Linked DNA regions of Schizosaccharomyces pombe. The protein of the gene in region 1 interacts with the protein of each later gene in a biochemical or structural test. Each region holds a gene or a part of one and is shown on either strand. Other genes may lie near its edges. The genes, in order: rho3 and apm1.

Region 1 (3,980 bases):
ACAGGAGGTACAAGATGAAATGCGACAAAATCTAGTATGTTTATGATGTGTATGGTCCATATCCGACTAACAATTTCATAAGCTTTCTCAAATTTTGGAACACCCAGCAAGAGACAGACTTCGTCGTATAGCGTTGGTACGAAAAGATCGTGCTGAAGGTAAGTGTGATTTCATTTTCTGCGGCGGATAATAATTTAATATCTGTTTACGAATAATGTAAACATGTGTCTAATTTGTGTAGCTGTTGAAGAGCTCCTGTTACGTATGGCCAAAACGGGCCAGATATCTCATAAAATCTCAGAGCCCGAACTTATCGAATTGTTAGAAAAAATTTCTGGTGAGGTCTCCAAACGTAATGAAACAAAAATTGTGGTAAGTGCCTTACTAATTCCTTCTCTCCTTTTTTATTTCAAATTCATCTGAGGAGAGAAATATCAAAAAAAAACATCTGTTTATATTACATGGTCCAGAGTTTAACTGTTTAATTAGATCAATCGACGTGTTCAAGACGATGAGGATGACTGGGATCTTTAATTTAAAGGATAAAGACATAATAAATTTTGTTTTACTTTCAAATGGATCAAATTGAATTAGGGTTGCACGGATGCACGAATACAACATATTGGGTAGTCTAAATTTTTACAATTTTTAACTTCAATTACGATATTTAGGGGTAACACTTCATATTACATAAATATTTAAGGTGCTTTCTAAAACGGTAGGATTTGACTCAGACCCATGTCTTACAACCGAAAGACTAATCCTTATTGCTCAACAGTATGCTTATCGTAAAAGAAAAGGGGTAGATTAATTGATTAGATTAGCAACTCAACGATTACACGAACAGAAGGAGAATTGAACAACTCAAAGTGTACAAGTTTCAAAAAAGAAGGAAAGTAAGGTTCACTGCAAACACTCTTTTTCACGATTGTACAAATACCTGCTGTTTCAAGTAGGAAGGTAAGAAAGATAGACAATACACCTGAAATAAGGAGATAAACTCATTGGAAACGGACAGAATCCCCAAGTGTCAAATTTAAAACCTTGAGAACAGCAAAGGGGATAAAAGTCAAAAGTACAAACCATTGAAAAAAGGTTAACGCTATTCAAAGGCCACCGCAACACCCACACTAACGTCATATACAATAATAAACTTCGAACATTAGAAATAAGACTTTTAGGCGCTTTCAAAAGAAAGTGCTTTCAAGCAATGATACATCCGGTACCATGGGATTCATCAGCACCATCCTTTGTACCTCTTGGTTGCGCGGCAAGGGCAACGCGTGCAGCTTCCGTGAAAGCTTCATTTACGCCACGATTTAATTTAGCGCTGCATTCTAAATATCGTACAGCGTTGATTTTTTTTGCCGCTGCCAGTCCTTCCTCGTAATCAATAATTTTACTGTGATCAACTTGCTCCTCATCAGCTCCACGTAAATCACATTTTAGAGCAACAAGAACCAATTTAACACCAGGGCAATTACTAGAGACTTCCGGAAGCCATTTTGTGATTACATTTTCTAATGAGTCTCGTGAATCCACGGCAAAGCAGATCATAATAACATGTGTATCTGAATATGATAACGAACGCAGTTGATCATACTCTTCTTGACCAGCTGTATCCCATAGAGACAGTTCTATACTGTTTCCATCGACAAAGATATCATGAATGTAGTTTTCAAATCTATTTTTAGGTGTTAGATAACGGAAAAAGTTTTTAAGTACAAGAAGATAATCATGTAAAGAAGTGGTGAAAACCCTTAACAGGTCAAGCATAGTAAAAGCAATTTGACGTTTGGTCATGAGAAATTGTACGAGTGTGACTGTATGGAGAGCACACTCGGGCATTCTCGTTTTCCTCAGAAATGAAACAAATTTCCACAAATTAACCCGTTAGATAAAAGGTTTGCAAAAAAAGATGCTTCATATTGAGTTATACTTGATATTGCAGACGGTAACCTCATTTCCGCTCCGCCGTTTACAGCTTTGCACTATTAATGATACTTACATAGTAGGCTCGTATACCTGAGGGAAATAACCCTTAGTAAATACATTTAACAAACTGGTTTTACCAGCAGCACCTATAATTTACGGTTAGAATGCTTAGCTGCGAAAATCACGAAAGAAAAAACAAAATTTTCACCAAGATCCTTACCATCACCAAGAATTACGATTTTCCGATAAATAGGCTTCTTTTTACTTCCGAAACAGCTTGACATACTTTCAATGAGCTTCAATCAAGCTTTCTATGGGTTTTTCAATGGTTTCTGTATAATAAAGGATTAGAGGTGTTTGGTTTAGGTACGAATTTTGTACCATGAGCTAAAGCCTACGCAAGACCCCAGCTTACTGCTTAGCGAAGGACATACATGTCCTTGTGCGCTGTAGATTGGCTTCTACATTTCAGGTAACAATCAAATTTAGAATAATTAAGGCGATGCGAACCAGTTTATTAAAAGAGATACGGAAATACGTAATACAGAATGAACTTCGCAAGTAGGATTGTTTCATAATATATTTTGATGAGTAAAGCATTAATTCATTGATGAACAAAACCTTCGAAGGATAGTTTTACTAAAATATATTGGGGAAGTCTACTCTCAGTCTCAAAATGAAATACACGGTATATATAACGTGATTGCTAAATAGGAAGAAAATCAACAGCACCAGTTAGTGAAAGTTGACCAAGGGCTTGTCAATTTTGAGGCAACCCTTTCAATTGAAAGTTTAAAATTTAATTGAAAATCGTACTTTGATGAGTTTGAAAAAGGAGTCACACAATAGTACAACCAACTTTACCGTGGTTTGTTTCATGATAATAGTTTAATTTGCACAGCAACTGTTGGAATCATGAATTGAATAGCACCTTTAAAAGAAGAAAATTTTGTTTGACATTTGAATATGCTTTTAAACTTTTTGTGCCGCTTTATGGCTACTTTCCATTATGTCGTAAAGTGTTTTTGCCGAGTCATTCAGAGCATCTGTATAATGTTGAGTTAAAACAAGCCATTCGGCTACAAAAGAAAGCATCTGTAATTCCATCTGTTTTCTATGATAACCCAATTGGAATTGGAAAAACCATTCTTGAGAAGAATCGCAAATTTGAAACTCCTTCGCTACCTTTAACGTTGTTTCAAACGCCTCGCACAATTTGCTGTAAACCATCATACAGAATTTGAGCATTTGTTCAATTTGCTTTGCTAGTGACATAAATACCATCTTTACTGTGTTCGAGGTTGACACAGACGTTTTTTTCATAAGTGATTGATTTTTGTACAACCTTCTTTTTGCGCGCAATAATAGTCTACTACGTTCACTGATAAATACCATCTCTTGAGTTACATAATTATACATTTCTTCTGCGTAGCTTTTTGCATTTTTTGAAGATACGCTAATTTTCGTCAAATTAACTGTTACGTCCCCAAAGCTGGGATTATCATCACTCAAGCTTTTCATATAAGTCTTCCATTCCATTGGAGAATCAATTAGAAAACTGGACACCTGATTCTCCATTTTCTGTATTGTGAGGTTAAAATGTGAAGGGATCAATACACGTTTTCTCGTTTAGGTGCGCTGGTAACAACAAAAAAGTAACAAACAAAAGGAAAGTCAGCAAAACACATAATAAACCAACATGTAAAAAAGTGTTAGTGCAATTGCTTATGCCCTCAAATTTGTAATTGAGTGTTTATAAAGTTCATTTCCTTATGTGAATATTCGTATTATCAGTTATGACTCGTTGCTCTGCTTGCGACTTAAGTTTGCTACCATGCGTTTTTCTTACAACAATTCAGAGATTATTTTCATGATGATTGCTACCGGGTTGCATGAATTAACAACTTAGTTCAATTGTTTTGCTTTTACGATCAGTTTACCCTCTCTCATATTGCGGCGATAATCTGATATTTCAGAGAATTTTAGTTTTTCAAATTGCGAAAAAAAAAATTTTTCAACCAACTTGTATTTCATTGCTAGTGGTT
Region 2 (4,496 bases), on another chromosome or scaffold:
CCCCTGAAACCAAGTTGATTGATGATGGTAGTCATGTGCACAATGTCTATCAACATATATTTTATATCCCCGATCCAACTCTGGCTTTTGTTGGTTTAGCTCTACACGTTGTTCCTTTCCCTACTAGTCAAGCACAGGCAGCGTTCCTCGCGCGAGTTTGGTCTGGTCGCCTCAAATTACCCAGCAAAGAAGAGCAGCTGAAATGGCAAGACGAATTAATGTTTTCGCTGAGTGGAGCAAATAATATGTATCACTCTTTGGATTATCCAAAAGACGCTACCTACATTAACAAGCTACACGACTGGTGTAAACAGGCTACACCTGTTCTTGAAGAAGAGTTTCCGTCACCGTATTGGGGCGAGAAGGAACGAAGCATCCGTGAAAACATGTGGTCCATCCGTGCTAAGTTTTTCGGAATTGAACCTCCAAAGTAAATACGTACTTGAAAACTCATTACACCCTTAGACCTTTAAACTTTTCCCTTCAATCTTTTTCTTACTATCCGGTCTCCCTCTCATTCTCTCGCTTTTGGTTTTTAATTTATTATGTTTAGAAAACCGTTTGGAACAATCTGTCTTTTATGTATTTTTAATACACGGAGATTCACTACTGAGTAAATGGAATTGTATGTTAGAAAATCTTTATTTCTGTTTTAATAAAAACATTGAACTTATCCTTTATACAATAAATAGACTTAGACATTTATGTTTCAAGCAAATGCTCCTTTTATGTCAGCTGAGTAAGAAAAAGGATTAGCGCGTCTGCAAACAAGATTTCATTTCGTAATAAATGGGATCAGTACACTAAGAAAACAAATATATAGATGAAGGGAAAGGTATCTAAAGGTAGAAAAAAGAACGGAACGGAGAACCATCATTAGAAACATTTACTGACGGATGGAATATTCAGTACCATTTTGTGTAACATATCGAACCCAAGGCATAGCATGATAATTAAGTTTTGGTTCGGTGATTTTTAAATAACGAACTTGGATCCCTGAGGTAGTGAAATAGGGAATAGCAAATTTTAGTTGAACAGGACGTTTTTTCTGAACTTGAATATCTTCATTTTTAACACTTGGTAAACCCATTTCAGCACGCATGAAAAATTCTTTACCACCTGCAAATTTCTTAATGTTCCAAACCATGGCAGCTTGTTCAGGTGCATATTGCACATGACCATTGCTAGTTTGAAACCGAGGACTGTCAGCATCTTCCGGAACGGGAATGATGATTTGGACATTATTTGCAATACAACGCTTTTTGAATTGAGCCTTAGCTTTTACCATAAACTCAATTCTCGAACCTGAATGCACGATGGATTCACATTCAACCCAAATTAATGGCCGTACCTAACGAGAAATTAATATTAGAAAACGTTGATAAAGGAGAGAGGGAATAAAAAGAACAGGCACAAACTAATAACTTACATTTGAACTCATGCGATAGGACATTAAATCAAATTCGCCATCAGGAGGAATGAACGAAATTGTACGATCGTTTTCAAATCGAGCAAGACGAACACATTGGTGAAATTTCACATCTTCCATTTCCACAGTGTTTCCTTTAATGGTACGACCAGCCGCTTCGAAAAGGACCTTGTCATTGAGCCCAAGACGAAGTTCAGGCATTCCTGATAAGTAGCATTTGAGACGAACTTTTCCTAAGATTTCACTTTGAATGACCGTACCATCGGCAGCAGCAATTAAATTAACTGATTCAATAACGTCCAAAAATACTTCATTCTTACGATAGTGAATTCCTTCAGAACGCCAGGAGATAGCATTTGTCATAGCAATGGGGGGTGGAGCATGCTTTTTTACCGTATTTGAGGTTTGAGTGATGTATTCTTGCAAGATTTTTGTTTCAGTTGTTTGTGGAAAACCGAAATCCATGATCTCGTCTAACAATTCATAAACAAGAACAAAGTTATCTCGAATCGACTCTTCCTGCAATTCTTTAAAGTAATCTATAAAAACGTCCGCCATTTTACGCAAAAATACTAGCATCTCCATTGCATCGGAATTCATTTTGGATAAAGCAAGGAGGTAGACATCATTATGGTGAATGTAAATGTACTGAAAAGTGTTAGTACGACCATAAAAAAATAAGAATTGTTGGCTTTCATAATATCTAACTTTTACATACGTTAATGCCTTCGTGAGTGAGACAAGGGGTGGAGAATCCTTGTTCTTCTTCAACTTCTGATTTTAAAGGTAAAAACTTTTCAACTACTGACATGGGGATATCAGCTCTAATTGTTTTCTGTTAGTAACCTGTCGACGAATTGCGACAATCTGATTTTCATTCAGATTTCAAAATTGCCTACCGGTAATCACGGGAAATGATTACCTTTCCCTTTAAATTCAGAACGAATATAGCAGAAGCCATTTTTACAGAAGCCGCGAATAAGGCAGCTAGTTTCGCTCTGGATAACTAGCATTGACTGTTGGCTGCCTCATCACCGTGCCTAAGCACCGCTAGTGTAATACAGCGTAATTCACTATTTCTGTTTCTTACATATAGTACGAAATTCTTCTTATATTGAGTAATTACTACTCTATGCACACATTCAGTCTTCTTTTATAAGATAATCTATTCAGATAATTATAACTAATTTACATTATATGGTTTTGTAAATGCCGAAAAGGAAAATAATTTTTCTGACAATGTAAGAAAATTTCGGTATGTTTTATTTGACAACTTTGGCTTATAACAATAAGAATAACAAATATTTTAATAAAATTTGATCTCAAACATTGTAAATATTAAAAGCCACAAATCCCAAGAAAGTGCAACGAAAAAAGTTGTTAACTTTCACCAATGATAAAACCAAAGTGAACATCGTGGCTTTTTAAAAAGACACAGATTTTTTTCTAAAATAAAAAGGATAGAGAAATAACAACGTAAAGATTCCAAAAGTGTGTAAAAAATCAATATATACCTCGTAACCTTAAAATACCCAAATAAATTCCCAATAAATACATAACCTATACGCGTCTTTAAACAAGTCGAATACGCTTTTCATGAGCCCTTCGCTGTCTTTTTACGGCATCTTTTCTTTTTCGTTTGTAATCACGAGTTAAGAATAGACGATTTTCCGACCACCAGGATTCAAGAGCTTCTCTGCTCGTATAATCTTCATTACCTGGTTGGAATAGGGAAGAAGGATTGGGTAGAGTAAACATTTTTGGCCAACCCTTGGTACCCGATGAGGCTTTAACTATAGCTAGCGGAGTTTCCCCATCTGCCTCTTCTTCCATAGTTTCGTAATTACGGTCATCAATCTCACTTTCCATTTCACTTTCCTCACCAACTCCATTTTCATTGCCAAAAAGAGAAAACTTAGACGTATCCTGCGCATTGGAAGAAAACATTTCTTTTAAATTGTCAACGTTAACAACAGCAGTACGCTCATCAAATGCTTCAAATTCAGCAGGAACATCTATGTGTACGGACTCTTCCTTTTGTAAATTATCTTGTTCATCCAAACCTTCTTTTTGGAAATTATTAGTCGAATCATTGTCCAGTTCCAAAACACCTGAAGTTTTAGATACGGTATCAATTTCTTCTGTATTTTCAGAACCAAACAGTTCAGCTAACACAGATGCAGCCGTATCCTTATCTTTTTTTCGCAAAGCATCCAATTGCTCTTCGTTTAATTCTTTTGTGACTTCAATCTCCCCAGTTGTGTTATTAAGAAGTTCAAAATCGTTATCATCCTTCTGAGTAGAAGCTTTGATACCCAATTTTGCTTGCATACGTATTTTGTCACGAGAAGCTCTCTTACCCCCATATGATACATACTCATCATGATCAGAATCATAAAAAGCTGTAGTATTGTCCATATTCGTTTCCACTCGGCCCCATAGTTTTTGTAAGCAGTTTTTACCCAGCGGATAAAAAAACCTCGTTTTCTTAGTATTTTTATTATACATTCGAAGCACGACAATGGCCCTTCCATAGGGGCCTTTTTTCCAACCTTTTCTAGGAGGATCCTTCCGAACATCAGAATCCGTGACCACCTGCATATTTTTACTATGTTTTCCGGGAACAATTATTTCTCCATGAAAGACTGGGTCTTCCAGATCAACTTTGCTGGAGTGATCTTCATTTTTCTCATCATTATTAGTACTTTGAAGATCAGCAATTTTTTTTTCCTGCTGCAATTTTACTAAATAATAAGGGCGAGCTTCCTCTATACGAAGTTTACTTCCTTTAAACGTCGCATTTGATAAGTAAGACTTGCATTTCTGCCATTTATCTTCATCTGTTCGAAAATTCAAGTATGCAAATCGTTGTATAGTTCCTACTGGAGTAGATTTGTTTATAATTTCAAGATTTGAAACACTTCCAAAACGAGAAAATCTGGATTCCAAATCTGAAGATTCAATAGAGGATGAAAGGCCACCAACATAAATCCGTTTTTCTAACTCCATTATTGAAGTCAATTGATACAAAATGAGGACAAAAAGTTTCGCAGGTCAAAAAGAGTGT

Evidence for each region.
Region 2: the proteins of rho3 (region 1) and apm1 form a complex in vitro, tested with the Schizosaccharomyces pombe proteins (one study listed by BioGRID).

What each region holds. Positions count from the first base shown.
Region 1 is NC_003424.3:1,039,774-1,043,753, reverse strand, and holds rho3 (Rho family GTPase Rho3), read right to left. Parts: upstream 2,306-3,980; 5' UTR 2,220-2,305; coding exon 2,156-2,219; intron 2,082-2,155; coding exon 2,009-2,081; intron 1,775-2,008; exon of another isoform or gene 1,685-1,774; coding exon 1,204-1,684; 3' UTR 671-1,203; downstream 1-670. Other genes in the region: SPOM_SPAC23C4.09C (chaperonin-containing T-complex associated protein), read left to right, coding at 1-34, 83-158, 242-372, 490-534; karyogamy protein Tht2, read right to left, coding at 2,908-3,513. UniProt on the Schizosaccharomyces pombe protein: Involved in controlling cell shape and septation. Regulates cell separation by modulating the function of the exocyst complex. Involved in post-Golgi vesicle transport. Involved in driving sexual development in a palmitoylation-dependent manner.
Region 2 is NC_003423.3:1,908,074-1,912,569, reverse strand, and holds apm1 (AP-1 adaptor complex mu subunit Apm1), read right to left. Parts: upstream 2,430-4,496; 5' UTR 2,391-2,429; coding exon 2,329-2,390; exon of another isoform or gene 2,254-2,328; coding exon 2,148-2,253; exon of another isoform or gene 2,078-2,147; coding exon 1,430-2,077; intron 1,352-1,429; coding exon 887-1,351; 3' UTR 755-886; downstream 1-754. Other genes in the region: fmo1 (flavin dependent monooxygenase), read left to right, coding at 1-434; ribosome biogenesis protein Nop8, read right to left, coding at 3,002-4,438. UniProt on the Schizosaccharomyces pombe protein: Component of the adaptor complexes which link clathrin to receptors in coated vesicles. Clathrin-associated protein complexes are believed to interact with the cytoplasmic tails of membrane proteins, leading to their selection and concentration.